Linked DNA regions of Caenorhabditis elegans. The protein of the gene in region 2 interacts with the protein of the main gene of each other region in a biochemical or structural test. Each region holds a gene or a part of one and is shown on either strand. Other genes may lie near its edges. The genes, in order: ifp-1 and mua-6.

Region 1 (6,709 bases), 6.6 Mb from region 2:
AGAAATGAGCCCGAAAAGGAAAATAAGAGAGTGTGGAAAAGTGGTAGATGAAAATAAAAAAATGTGGCGAAGAATTTGAAAACATGTATCCAATGGAGATGGAAGAAAGAGAAACAGAGCCCAAAACAAAGAAAAAAAGAGGAAAGGGATATGAATTGGTCACTTAGCAGTGCCAGATGTGAATATCCTAATGGTAGAGGATCGGGTTAGGTGACAATGTTTGAAAAAGAGGGTAAGTGGAAGACAGGCGCGCCGATAATGAGTTATGATATGAGTTGTCTATGCCTTTACTCAACCCACACAAACACCCCCGTTAATTAATGAGTGAATCATTTTAAATTTAAACTTGATACGGTTCACTTTTAAATGATAATAATCAACTTTTATCTCATCTGAGGTACTTTTTTGTACTTGGAACAGTTTTTAAAACATTATTTTCTTGGGTCACTCAAAACAGTCCAACGAATAAAATTGGTTTAGCAATAATTGACCGCACGGGAAAGCAATATTTTTACTTGGAAGTTGAAGTGTATTGCCAGATGAACTAGTGGAAAATACTCTGTAGCTTAACCGTTTATTTTTGAAAAAAAAAACCGCTGGAATTTTGTGAAGAAAAAATAGAATTCAAACTTCCATCAAAACTGATTTTCAAAAAAAACAAAAGCTGAAAACTGCTTCTTCTCTTTAAATAATTTCGATTTTAATCTCTAATTTTTGAATAAAAAAAAATTACATTTAGCAGAGTTTCGAAACAGAGCAGATGTTTATAATTGAATCGGGGCAAGTGAGCTTTTTTTGAGTAATAGGTTTATTTTAAATTCAGAATATGAAAGAAATACGAATTACTGGGATTGAATTAAAGAATTATTTCCTTTTTCAAGAAGTGAGTGGAAAAAAATAGGGGCAACGAGTAGAAGTTTCTTGATAAAAAGTGTGAAAAATGAAAACAAGAGAAAATAAAATATATATTTGTTGTTAGAATTATCATGTTATCAGAAATTTGGCATTAGTAATGTATCAATGATGATGATGGTCTGCATCTCCGATTTCAGTGTTGCTCGTGTAAACAAACCACGATTTCACCTGAAATATAATTGGAGTAATCAAAGTTATTGGCAAGAGGCCAGATGTCAATCAGTTGTGTTTACAATTGTAAATCAAAGACTATTTACCTCATTATTCGTGTTTCTGATTGATGTATTGGTATGGATGGTGGTATCGAAGAAGTCAATTTCAGCAATAACTGCTCCTCTTTCATGAGTTGCTCCACGAGCGTAGATCTGTAAAAAATAATTTACAGTTTCTAGTTTATCGGTGACATAGAAGTAGTATTCAGTTTTGCGCCGTTTGAAAAAAAACAATTTTTTTTTTCTACAAGTTAACACTGTTTTCAAAGCAAATCAACTTGAATTTGTGAATTCTAGGATCCTGAATGCTATTATATAAGAACTGATAAACTACACTAGAAAAAGCATAACCTTCAAGCTATCCTTGGGTGCAAGGATCAATCCAACTGGAAGATCAACATATACGCTCTTGTTTCCAAACTCGTGAATAAGTTTGAAGCCACCAACGTCTGCCGATTTTTTCGAGCTTCTATTTACAAGTTGAACAAAATCTGCAGTCACATCCTGTAAGAATTGTTCAGTCCTAATAATATTAAAAAGCAAAGAGTGTTACCGAAATCTTCACTCTCCCCTTGTACCATCTAGTGAATCTCTGGAAGTTGTCCTCGTCAACACTATCGGAACCTGGAATGCGTTTCTTTGTATTTTTTTATAAATATTTTTCTAGCGTGATAGTTCTCTCAACTGTCGTTACATAATACACGTAACAGTAAACTTTTAATCGTAAACGTTATTTTACGATTCGTTTGTGGTGGTTGTGTACGTTTGTCTTATCAGTAACTCTTTTTTCAAACTAATCTGGAAAAAACTAAAATGGTATGATACGATAGTTTTCGACAGCTTAAAAACGTCTCAAAGCTTAGCATTTGACGAGGTGTTGTCAGTCAATATTAAAAGCCGTCTTCCACTCACTACTGCTATGTTCAATTGATCCTTCATTGAGTAGAGTAGTGGAGATGCTATTGCTCACTGAGCCTGTTGCTGCATGATAGCTCGAATGATGTGGCCCTCTTTGGCTCGAGTTCCGATTAAAAGTATCGTAGTATGAGGGGACAGTAGCTCCTTCAGTCACTGGCGTAATTAGCGGGAAGTTGCTATTAATATGAGTGTAACCGGGAGCACGTTCATTAAAAATTGTAGGCTCAACTCGAGGAACGGCACCACCAATTGGATAAGGTTGATGTAAAGCATCGTTGCGACGAATTTCACTATCACGACGTTCGCTTGCAATCCTATCATTGACCGATGAAGTTGGAGTACGAGACGCGTATGGATTGTTAATCTGTGTTGTGTTAATCTGACCTCCCGCGCTAAGGTCTCTCACTAATCGGGTGTTATCTGAAGCACGAATTGTTTCAACCGAATGGCTTGGCAGAACCGGAAGTGTGCCTTGGAGAGTCTCGATTTGAATTCTCTCCCTGAGAGAAGATCGGCTATCAGCACGAGACTCCTGCTGGTACGGAGTATATGATGGACGAATCGGGCTCGCGTCCCTCGAATAAGTATATTCACGAATTGGTTGAACAGGAAGTGTAGCAGGAATTGGAATTGGCGTGTGAGTGATGGTCTCATGAATAGTGGTACCAGTTCTGGACGACGAGGAATCTCTCACAGCGTGATGAGCAGTGTGCTGAACTATTCCAGAAGAAGTTCGGCTATGGTGGTCAGAAATGCTGCTGTAGTTCTGTCGACTAAGCGCGCTTGCTATAACTTGAGTACTTGGCGCATTTGCACGAGGATCTCCAGATCTGTCGAGAAGTTCCCGATATTTTGCGATTTCCTTTTGCAAGTCCTGAAAACGTTAACAATTTAATAAACACACAAAATAATACAACATACAATGTTTAAGTCACAAAGTTTCTCCAATTCAACACTGATGGCAGTGCATTGCTCTCTCATCTTCTCAATTTCCTTTATTTTGAATTCCAAAGTATCCTCGAAAAGCTTGTTATTTTCCGAAATTTCCAGACGATAGAATTCAATTTGTTGAGTGAGAGAATTGTTCTGAAAATTACACAATCATCATGGAAAATAATTTCAAATTCTCACTCTGATTTCAACTTCAGAAACTTGTTTCTGCAATCCAGAAAGATTGTTCTTAACAATCGAAAGCTCCTCTCTCAGTTTGTCATAGCAAACTACTCCTGGCATAGTGGTATTCATTCGATGGATTTCCCTTTCCAAGCGAATTCGAATTTCTTCTTCGTTTCTCAATCTGTTAGCCTCATAATCAGCACGAATATCAGCAATTGCCTTGCGAAGTTGATCGCGGAAGACGTGACGATCCGCATTGCGATCACGAACAAAGTATTTGTGCTCATTCATGATAATCTTTTTGTTGTCTTCCTCCATATTTCGGATACTGTGCAACAACTCATTCTTGCGAAGAAGATATTCTTGTTGCAGACTGACAGCTTGATCTTTTCTCTGAATATAGAGAATTCACAGTCGATAATGAATAAGATAATGAGTCAAACTTCTTAACTGTGTTGACAAAAAATTTAGCTTATCACAAGGAACCTCGCGTTTTTTGAGAGGCAGTGCAAGTCTTTCATGACATTCACGCTACTAACTGAAAAACAGAAAACTTGAGCCAGCTAAGTTTTTTGTATGTTTTTTTTTTTTAACAGATAGTTTTTGGCTCAAAATTATATTTAGCATTACAATCATTATTTCCGTGTTGGGCGAAATGAAAACAAATCATTTCGAAAAAATAAAAAAATAAGTTTTTGAAAAAAAAAATTTATATATGTACCTACTGAATATATTTCAACAATCAAAATACCAGTGTGATTTAAATCTATCCCAAAAAACTGATATCCGAAAAGTTCTTATGAGTTTTTTTTCCAAATCTATCAAATTGAACCTCTATTGTTTTTGCATGTATTAACAGTCTTTTAAAAAATCGAACCCACCATTCTCATCAAATTAATATGCTCAAAAATTCTTCCATTGTTCTGTTTGATCAGTCTGAGCTTATCCTCCATATACTTGATTCTTCTCTTAGTGATACAATCTTCCATCTTGATATGACAGATTCTATGGAACTCATCATCAACCTCTTTGGGAACCCCCAAAGCTGATTTTGCAGTGTGTCTCCAAAGTTGTTCGGCTTCTTTGACTTGATGGGACAACTGGGTTTGCTCATTTAGTAGTTCGTGCCGGCTTCGGTTAATTTCTTCAATTCCCGATCTGACAGTCTGAAAAACAATGATAATATTGATACATCGTATGAATTAATTGTATACTTCAAATTGTTTTTAATCAGAAGTTTCATTTTTTACAGCTGACCAGAATGATAGTATGTTTGCTATCAATAGTAGGCGGCTTGCACGTTTCTAGTTGCCACTCCCTTTATTCTCTAATGATAATTAAAGAAATGAATTCTTCGGAAACAAACGATCGTAAAGATTATTGTTTGTAGTTAACGCGACACGCAAGCAAAGGAAATTATCGTACTCTACGAAAGAGCACAACTTCAATGTACTTTTAAGTCATTAAAACTGTAGGCTTCGTTTCTTTTAACGAGTAAACAAGTTCATCGCCGCTAAAACTTGTGTGAGGGAAACTGATGGTTTCAGCCCACACAGAAAGTAAATAGTGAAAACTGATAGCGCACAAAGAACAAGAATGCTGGAAGCGTGAATAAGACAGCTGCAACAATTGACACTCACCCTGATCTCAACATTGTAAATTTCATTAATTCCACTACTGTCGCTCTGGACTCCACTTTTTAGCAAATTGTAGTCGTGTTCCAAAGCAGTGTGCTCAGCTTCCATATAGTGGACCTGAAAATATTAAATATTTTGTTTTACAGTACATAGAAGAGATGATAGGCAATAACACAAACTCACATGTTCGATGATATCCACAAACTGATCGTTGAGCTGAACAAGGTCTTGTCGCTCAGAGAGCTTAGCTCTTGCCAGATGTAGTAGACAATCCCTAGCGTTAGCGGAATCCATGCGCTGAAACAGTAACCATAAGACCAGAAAGCAAGAAAATTCTAAAAGCAAAATGAAAAATTATAAAAGTGCGACTTGAAAGGACAAAAAATTGCAGAATAAGCAGAAAATAATCGAGTGCGTAAAACTTCTTATCAAAACTTGAAAAGGTGAATTAAAAAATGCAATAGGTGTACGAGCACGAGTGAAAACCGCGAATTTTCACAGTCGTGATGACAGGAAACCGAATCGACTCTTGGAAAATGTTTAATGGCATGCCATTGTGATAGTAAAGTAGGTGAAGAATGCTAGTGAGCATGTTTCACTCGGTTGGCGGTACTTTAGCACGTTTCTTATCACTATTAAAATAAAGAGCTATTTGAAGCGAGAGATAGATGAATCAAGAGGGAGAAGACATTTGTGTGGTCTATGGAGATGAGGGGGAGAGACTGATGCACCGATGTGGAGCAATCAAACTGTACTAACAATGGTGTAATTGTTGTAGGAGGTGGAAATGATTCATTGCAAGTTGCAAATATTAATTTACAGGATAATGTTTTTTACATTTCAGGAAGTTCGAGAAACTGAGTCATTTGTTAAAATACTTTTTATTTAGAAACTCAGTAATTTCTCCAACCTATTGAATTGAAGCTCTGGGCTTCAATTCAGCCCATTTCCGATTTGTTTTAAACATAATCAACTTACCTGGTTAATTGAGAGAACTCATGTAGAAACCATATATTTATTAAAAACAAATTCATCTTCACATTCAGCCGTATAATTGGCCAAAGAATAAATTTTACAAAAAATTTGCTAATGAAAATTTTTTCGCACGCAAAAAAAAAACAGTTATGCCGCTTTAGCTCCTCGAATTCAAAATGCTCCTTTTTCAAATTTGTTTCTATTTTTAATGATACTTCCATAAGTCTAAAAAATAAAAACGTGTGGAATATTTTTTAATTTTAAGCTTAGAAAATAGCCATTTCTAAGCCCAACGAAGAATGATGCGTACCACGTTTATATTGAAAGGAGAAATTAATGAAAGCTCAATTTAAATTTTAAATGAGGGCATACATAAAACACACAAGTACCGATTTTTTAATGTTCAATAGCTTTTGTTTTTTTGTTTTTCCAATGTGAAAACTGCATTTTCTATTGGTAATTTGTGAATCATAGTTACTTTACGCAAAATAACTGATAAGGAATCCTTGAACTGCTCAGGACTTCTCTATTAAAAGAATCAGCAAGGAAAAAATTCCCTGTTTCTTTCTTTTTTCTTTACTGTATTCTTGTATTGAATATATTCAAAAAGTGCGACAACTATGACGCCCACTTGCTTCTTTTCCGGTTTTCGTTTTGTTCATCATCACTCTTCGAGCTCTGAGATCAAAAACACGCCTGGAAGAAAGAACAAAATTAGTATTCCTCAACGAGTACAAATGCCTTTCCAGTTGGTACGCACATTTCTTGGGTAAATGTCGTTTGCTCCTAAACAATTGTCGGAAATTTTTTTGTGTTCAGTGTGATCAATGTTTTTTTATTGTTTTACAAATGTTTTTTTATTGTTCGTGTTAGGAAAGTGAAAAATAACATATTTACAATTAAAAATAGGATGAGTTCCGGGTTAAAACACTTAAA
Region 2 (5,829 bases):
CTTGTCAACCTATGTTTGTCATAGTTACCCAAAATTGATTTTTATTAAATTTTATTGAATGTTCTGTTTTTCTATGTATTTTTAATGAATATATTTATTGTTATGACTTTTTTCGTTGATTAAGTTGTTTTCAGGAGTAAGAAGTATTTTTTGCACCCATCAACTAATGTTTTCAGACCGCCGCAACTGTGACATGTTGGCAGAAATCTAGGTTTTATCTGGAAGAGCTAGGTTTTCAAAATTTTATCAGCCATTTAAAAAAATTGAGACTTTTAAGACATTTCAGATTTTGAATTTCTTAAAACAAATACAAACATTTCACAGAACCAGCCAGGTTTAATCTTTGACTCACCATTATAATACATGCTGCCCATTGTCACAGTAATGCTCTCGTATTTAGAATAACCGCCACCAGGTCGAATGTGGGTTTTCGATGTATCTTGTCTCGTGTTAACTGATTAGAATCGCTGGGTTGGACCTTGTCTTCTTATCACGGCTCACCGAGCCATTCGTCTGACTTTCTTATTTGCTCTTGATCACGTTATCACCTTTAATATTTCCCCACCTTACTTTTCCTATCAATGTTTCAAATGAAAAATGAACATTCCATATGGCAATTTTTTGATCTGTATAAAGTATTTATTGTTGAAAATGAGTAAGTTACCGGAGGAAAAAGAAACAAAAAAGTGAAAAAGTATATAGCAAACGGAAAAAATGCAAACAGGCAGGCAGCAAAGAGTTGGGGTTCAGATTTCTGGTACAAAGAGAAGAAAACAGTAAATAGCTCAAGCAAAAAGCTAGATTTAGGAAGATGTCGTTTGTTGGCTTTGACGTTGGATGTGTGTCGCGCGCTCCTGCAAAGAAAAAAATAACATTTTATTCTGCACGTAAATTTTTGGGGGTTGAATTACCTCTCCCTTATTGTTGTAAAGGATTGTTTGAACGTTGGCGCCAACACCGAATGTTTCGTCACCTTCGAAAATGAGCACTTCTGGAGGATTGGCGATTCCTTGTCCGCGGGCGAAGATCTGGAAATGTAGAAATTTGTCTTTACAGTGGTTTTTTTAATGTTAAAACACCTCACTTGAATTTCTTTTTTTTTTATGAAAAATGTTTTGTATGAAATTGATTGAAGGTGGAGTAGCGCCAGTCGGGAAATTGTTAAAAACCACTCCTTTGGTCCAAAAATGACCAAACATCTTGATAAAACTTTTCAAAAAAAATTTTTAAATTTTTTATTTACTGTCAAAAAGTGGCAATTACTCAGTTTTTGCCACTCATAATTTTGGAAGTCGATCAAAAAAAAAATTTTTTTTCGACATTTTTTATGTTTTAATTTTGTTTGTATTAAAACATTGTAGGGGTCGAAACATGCGACATTTCTTTGAATTTCCTCAAAAGCTAGTATTTTAAAATTTTTTGGGAATTTGCCAAAACTTTGACCGGAAATTATGAAAAATCTAAAAAAAATTTTGGAGTGTTTTATTATGATATTCGGTTGTTTTGGATCATTATAAGTGCATTTAGACAAAATCCCCACTGGCGCTACTCCACCTTTTAAATAAATAATTGCTTCTTTCAAATTCATTTCTTATTCAAACCTTATTTGAAAACATTTTTTTTCAAAGCTGACCTAAATAATCTCACATCTCATCTGTCCCTTTTATTGATTTCTGTGAACAACGTTTGTCTTCACAGTTTCCATCAATTTGTTTATCACTTTTTATTCCTTCTTTTTCTCCTACATACATCCCCAATCTTTCTTTTTCGAAGCAAAGTTACCCCCCCTTTAGTCATTACGGACGGATGACCTTGCCACACCCAAACGCAATCGCGCATTAGATTATCAATTCGACACACACACACAGAGACAACAACACATTTCATTCTGAGACACCAATTTGAAATGTTTTATACGCGACAGGTCCTGGGTAGCTAGGCTTGTTTCTGAAAGAAGTAGAAATTCGCAAACCTTGACAGATTGGAATGGGTGGAGGATGTAGTCGGATGGGAAGGTGAAGACGATCTCGCGTTTTCCGTCGATCTTTCTCTTAAGCTTCCAGTCTCCGAGTGGCTCTTCTTTGGCTCTGTGTGTGTTTTCCAAAATGACAAATTTGCCTTCTGGGGAGGTTTCCTGAAAAGAAATTATCATTATTGAGTATGTACTAAGTGATAAATTGATTATTTTTATGTCGGAATGATATTATTAGTGACTACAGTCAATGGCCATTGGAAGTTTTAAATTTTTGAACGTCAAAGCTTTATTTTAGCGAAAAAGCAATTTTCAAAAAACTTGAAAATAAATCCCTCACCTTGATCGCCACATTTCCTTTAGCTGAACGTTGATAAGATGTTCTGCTGGAGTGTTCTCCTTTGACTACGCGCATCGTTTCGGTGTCAGCCTCTTCATTGATTGCAGATGTGCGGACGACCTTCTCGACAAGTTGCCGAAGCCCATTTCCTTCAGAATTACCTTCCAACATTTGTCTGTAAACCTTGAGCTCCCCATCAAGGGTTTGTTTAGTGTCAAGGAGCATCTGGAGCTCGACCATGAGAGCTTGGCATTCTTCACGGAGCTTGCGGATTTGTGCATCCTTGTCATTGAGGGCAGCTTCGTAGGATCTTTGGTCATCCTCGAGCTGGTAGTTGAGATCTTCGATTTGTTTCTCAAGAAGAAGATTCCTTGATTCCAAATCAGAAAGCTTTTGGCGGAGCTCGGAAGTTTGATTGCGGAGTCTCTTCACCTCCTCTTTCTGATAGTTGTTCTCCGCGTTTTGGCGGTTGGATTGAGTATTGATCTCTTGAACTCTCAACTGGTACCAGGATTCCATGTCATTACGGTTTCCATTCATGATCTGGTCATACTCGGCACGAATGTCACGCATAGCATTAGCGAGTTCATTCTTGAAGTACTCGCGGTTTTCACTAGTGGTGTCACGAGCAGCTTGAGCCTGAAGCTCCTTGAGCTCAGTCTCAAATCCTCTCTTCATGAAGTCAATCTCCTCCAGAATAGTCTTCACCTTGTTTTGGTTGTCGATACGAAGAAGGGTTTCCTGGTCGAGCTCCTGAAATTAAAAATTGTATCTTTTTTTCCGAATACTTCATGATTTAGTCACTCACAATGCGAACACGTTGGAGTTCAGATGTGAGCCGGAAGTTTTCCTTTTTCAGGCGAGCAACTTCTTCCTCAAGGAGGGCGATGCGTCTCTTGAGAAGGTTGATCTCGGCTTCGAGGTTGGAAAGGGTAACCAAAAGATCATCAATCTTCAAACGATCTTCAGCACGCCCTCTTTGGGCCTCTTCAAACCTGAAAATAATATTCAATGTGAATTTTGTTAGATATAAACGGGACCGGTATTAATGGTATAGGATATACAAAGTTTCAACTTCTTAACGGAGTGATACTGGAGCAATGGCTAGAATTGCTCAAACTCTCCAGAATAGGATCCAGATTTAGCAGATTATCAATATAAACGAATCATTACGGTTTTCATATTTACTATGGTTTCTCATCTCAATTAAACTCACTTCTTTCGCAACTCGTCGAGTTGATCCTGAAGCTTACGAATCTCCTTTTCAGTCTCTCCGTGATCCTTTCCTGTCTGCTTGACAACATTGGTGGCAGTGGTGATCTCCATCTCATACATAACTTTCACAGATCCGGTACTTTTTCCAAATCTTCCTTGGAGCATCTTCAGATCGGCATCCAACTTTCTGTTCTGAGCATCAAGGAATCTGACCTTCTCAATGTAGCTAGCCAAACGATCATTGAGCTCCATGATTTCTTTCTTTTCACGCTCACGGTTGTCTCGGATGGTGGACGCAGCATTCTGTCCGTATGGGGAGAGTCCACTTGAAACTGAGGAAGAGTGAGTTTCGGTGACAATCTTCAGCACACGATTCCCTGATCCTGGTGCTCCATAGTTTTGACTACTGCTGGTAACAGTGCGGTTGAATGATGGGCGAGAGGTGATGGAGCTGCGGTAGGAATCTGGATCGGTCATTATGTCTGAAAATTTTAAATTGTTAGAAAAATCTATGTTATAATATATTGGGGAGCAAGAAAATAGAGAGAAGTTGAAACAATCAGATTGTCTAATTTGAATTGTTTTATGAAAACTTAGAAACAAAAAAATATAGCAATTCAGGGACAATGTGAGAAAAATGACAAAACCCGAGACACACCCTCTTGAGAATATAACTAACCACACCTACATAAGTAAATCGAGAAATTGAAAACTGGGAGGGGAGGTGGAGGGCGACATAAAAACTGCCTCACCTCTTCCTTCCCAACCCATCAACATTTCTTGTACACGAAGAAGGTGGCGGATCGGGAGGGGCTGGAGATGGGCGGCGCAGTGAAGATGATGGAAGGGAGCGGTTTTCTCCAATTTATCGTTTTTTTTCTCTCTCTCTTTCCTGACCACTTATCCATTCGCAATCCCCGCCTCCATTGGTGATTGCAAAAGTGACGAAGATGGACATGTTCCCGTAAGTGAATTATTGTTCTACTACCAGAAAAGGGTGTCGTCCAGATGAGTCAGGAGTCAGTTAAAACACGATTGGGTGTGGTTTTGATTAATGATTATTCGTCTTGAGAGATTGTGAAGTTTAACTGTTACATATTCTATTCAAATATTCGATTCGAGGTGACTAATTGATAGATTAAGTGATAGATATGTCAGAATTCACCCACTTGCCTCGAATTAAAATGATTAGATAAATGTGAAGAGACAGCAAAAAAGATTTTTAGTGATTGAACTTCGGCAAACTTCAAAGGAAACTTTCTTAAATGTTTGTTCTTAGTTTCAAAATGAAGAAACTAGTTTCAAAAAGTAATTAGTCAAAGAACTACAGTTTTTTTACACCGATCTAGCTGCAACATGAATTTTGGTTTTTTTTGTTGTTATTTTTGAATAATCAAAACAATTAAAAGCCAATAGTCTTATTTAATATTTGTGCTCTAGTTTTCGTTAATTAAAAAAGGAATATAAATAGAATTTGAAATCAGCTCCCTTAAATGATTTAACTACTTCTTTCTCCGTAAAGTGAAAAAAATTTGAGAAGAAACAAAGAAAATTTTAATTTTCTACTGTTCCTAGGTAGGCAATAAGCACAAGCTATAACTGTAATAAACTTTAAGGTGAAGTAGCGCAAATGGAGATTTTGCCTAAATACACTTATAATAGGCCAAAACCACGAGGAGAATTGCCAAAATTTTGAAAATATGAGTCTTTTAAGGAAACCCAAAGCAATGTCGCATGTTTCGACCCCTACAATGTTTTAATACGAATAATTTAAATAAAATTGCATTATAAAATATGTAGAAAAAAAAATTTTTTTTGGTCGACTTCCAAAATTATGAGTGGCAGAAACTGAGCAATTGTCACTTTTTGACAGTAAATAAAAAGTTTTCCAATTTTTTTGAAATGTTTTATCATGGTATTTGGTTATTTTGAGACCATAGGAGTGGTTTTTGACACATTCCCCACTGGCGCTATTCCACCTTTACAACTGAATCAACTAACTGTTGTTTATTAGAATATATTAAAACATATAAATTTAGATGTCGAAAATCAGTGAATAAAAAATTAGTAAGAAGTAGTTTAGGTCATAATGAAATGGCGCTCAATGTTAGATCAAAAAATATAAACTGAAAGACAAAGAATGGATGAAAATTTGAATTGAGTCATGGCAAAATACTGCATGAAATAAATAAAAAATTACGGTTCCGTACAATTTCGGCTTGAAAATAAGAAGAAAAAATTAACTAAGATGGGGAAATTTCTCGTATTGTTATCCGAGCAAGGTTAGATTTATGAAGTTGTA

Evidence for each region.
Region 1: the proteins of mua-6 (region 2) and ifp-1 form a complex in vitro, tested with the Caenorhabditis elegans proteins (one study listed by BioGRID).

What each region holds. Positions count from the first base shown.
Region 1 is NC_003284.9:9,675,075-9,681,783, forward strand, and holds ifp-1 (Intermediate filament protein ifp-1), read right to left. Parts: upstream 5,096-6,709; 5' UTR 5,093-5,095; coding exon 4,982-5,092; intron 4,916-4,981; coding exon 4,802-4,915; intron 4,328-4,801; coding exon 4,043-4,327; intron 3,555-4,042; coding exon 3,177-3,554; intron 3,132-3,176; coding exon 2,967-3,131; intron 2,920-2,966; coding exon 2,040-2,919; intron 1,752-2,039; coding exon 1,681-1,751; intron 1,632-1,680; coding exon 1,479-1,631; intron 1,281-1,478; coding exon 1,173-1,280; intron 1,084-1,172; coding exon 1,018-1,083; 3' UTR 799-1,017; downstream 1-798. UniProt on the Caenorhabditis elegans protein: Cytoplasmic intermediate filaments provide mechanical strength to cells. Not essential protein.
Region 2 is NC_003284.9:16,261,678-16,267,506, forward strand, and holds mua-6 (Intermediate filament protein ifa-2), read right to left. Parts: upstream 4,010-5,829; 5' UTR 4,005-4,009; coding exon 3,529-4,004; intron 3,308-3,528; coding exon 3,121-3,307; intron 3,066-3,120; coding exon 2,313-3,065; intron 2,135-2,312; coding exon 1,973-2,134; intron 1,029-1,972; coding exon 912-1,028; intron 855-911; coding exon 804-854; 3' UTR 612-803; downstream 1-611. Other genes in the region: Serine/threonine-protein kinase sgk-1, read right to left, coding at 353-374; Intermediate filament protein ifa-3, read right to left, coding at 5,817-5,829. UniProt on the Caenorhabditis elegans protein: Cytoplasmic intermediate filaments provide mechanical strength to cells. Essential protein, involved in attachment structures in epidermal cells that connect muscles to the external cuticle.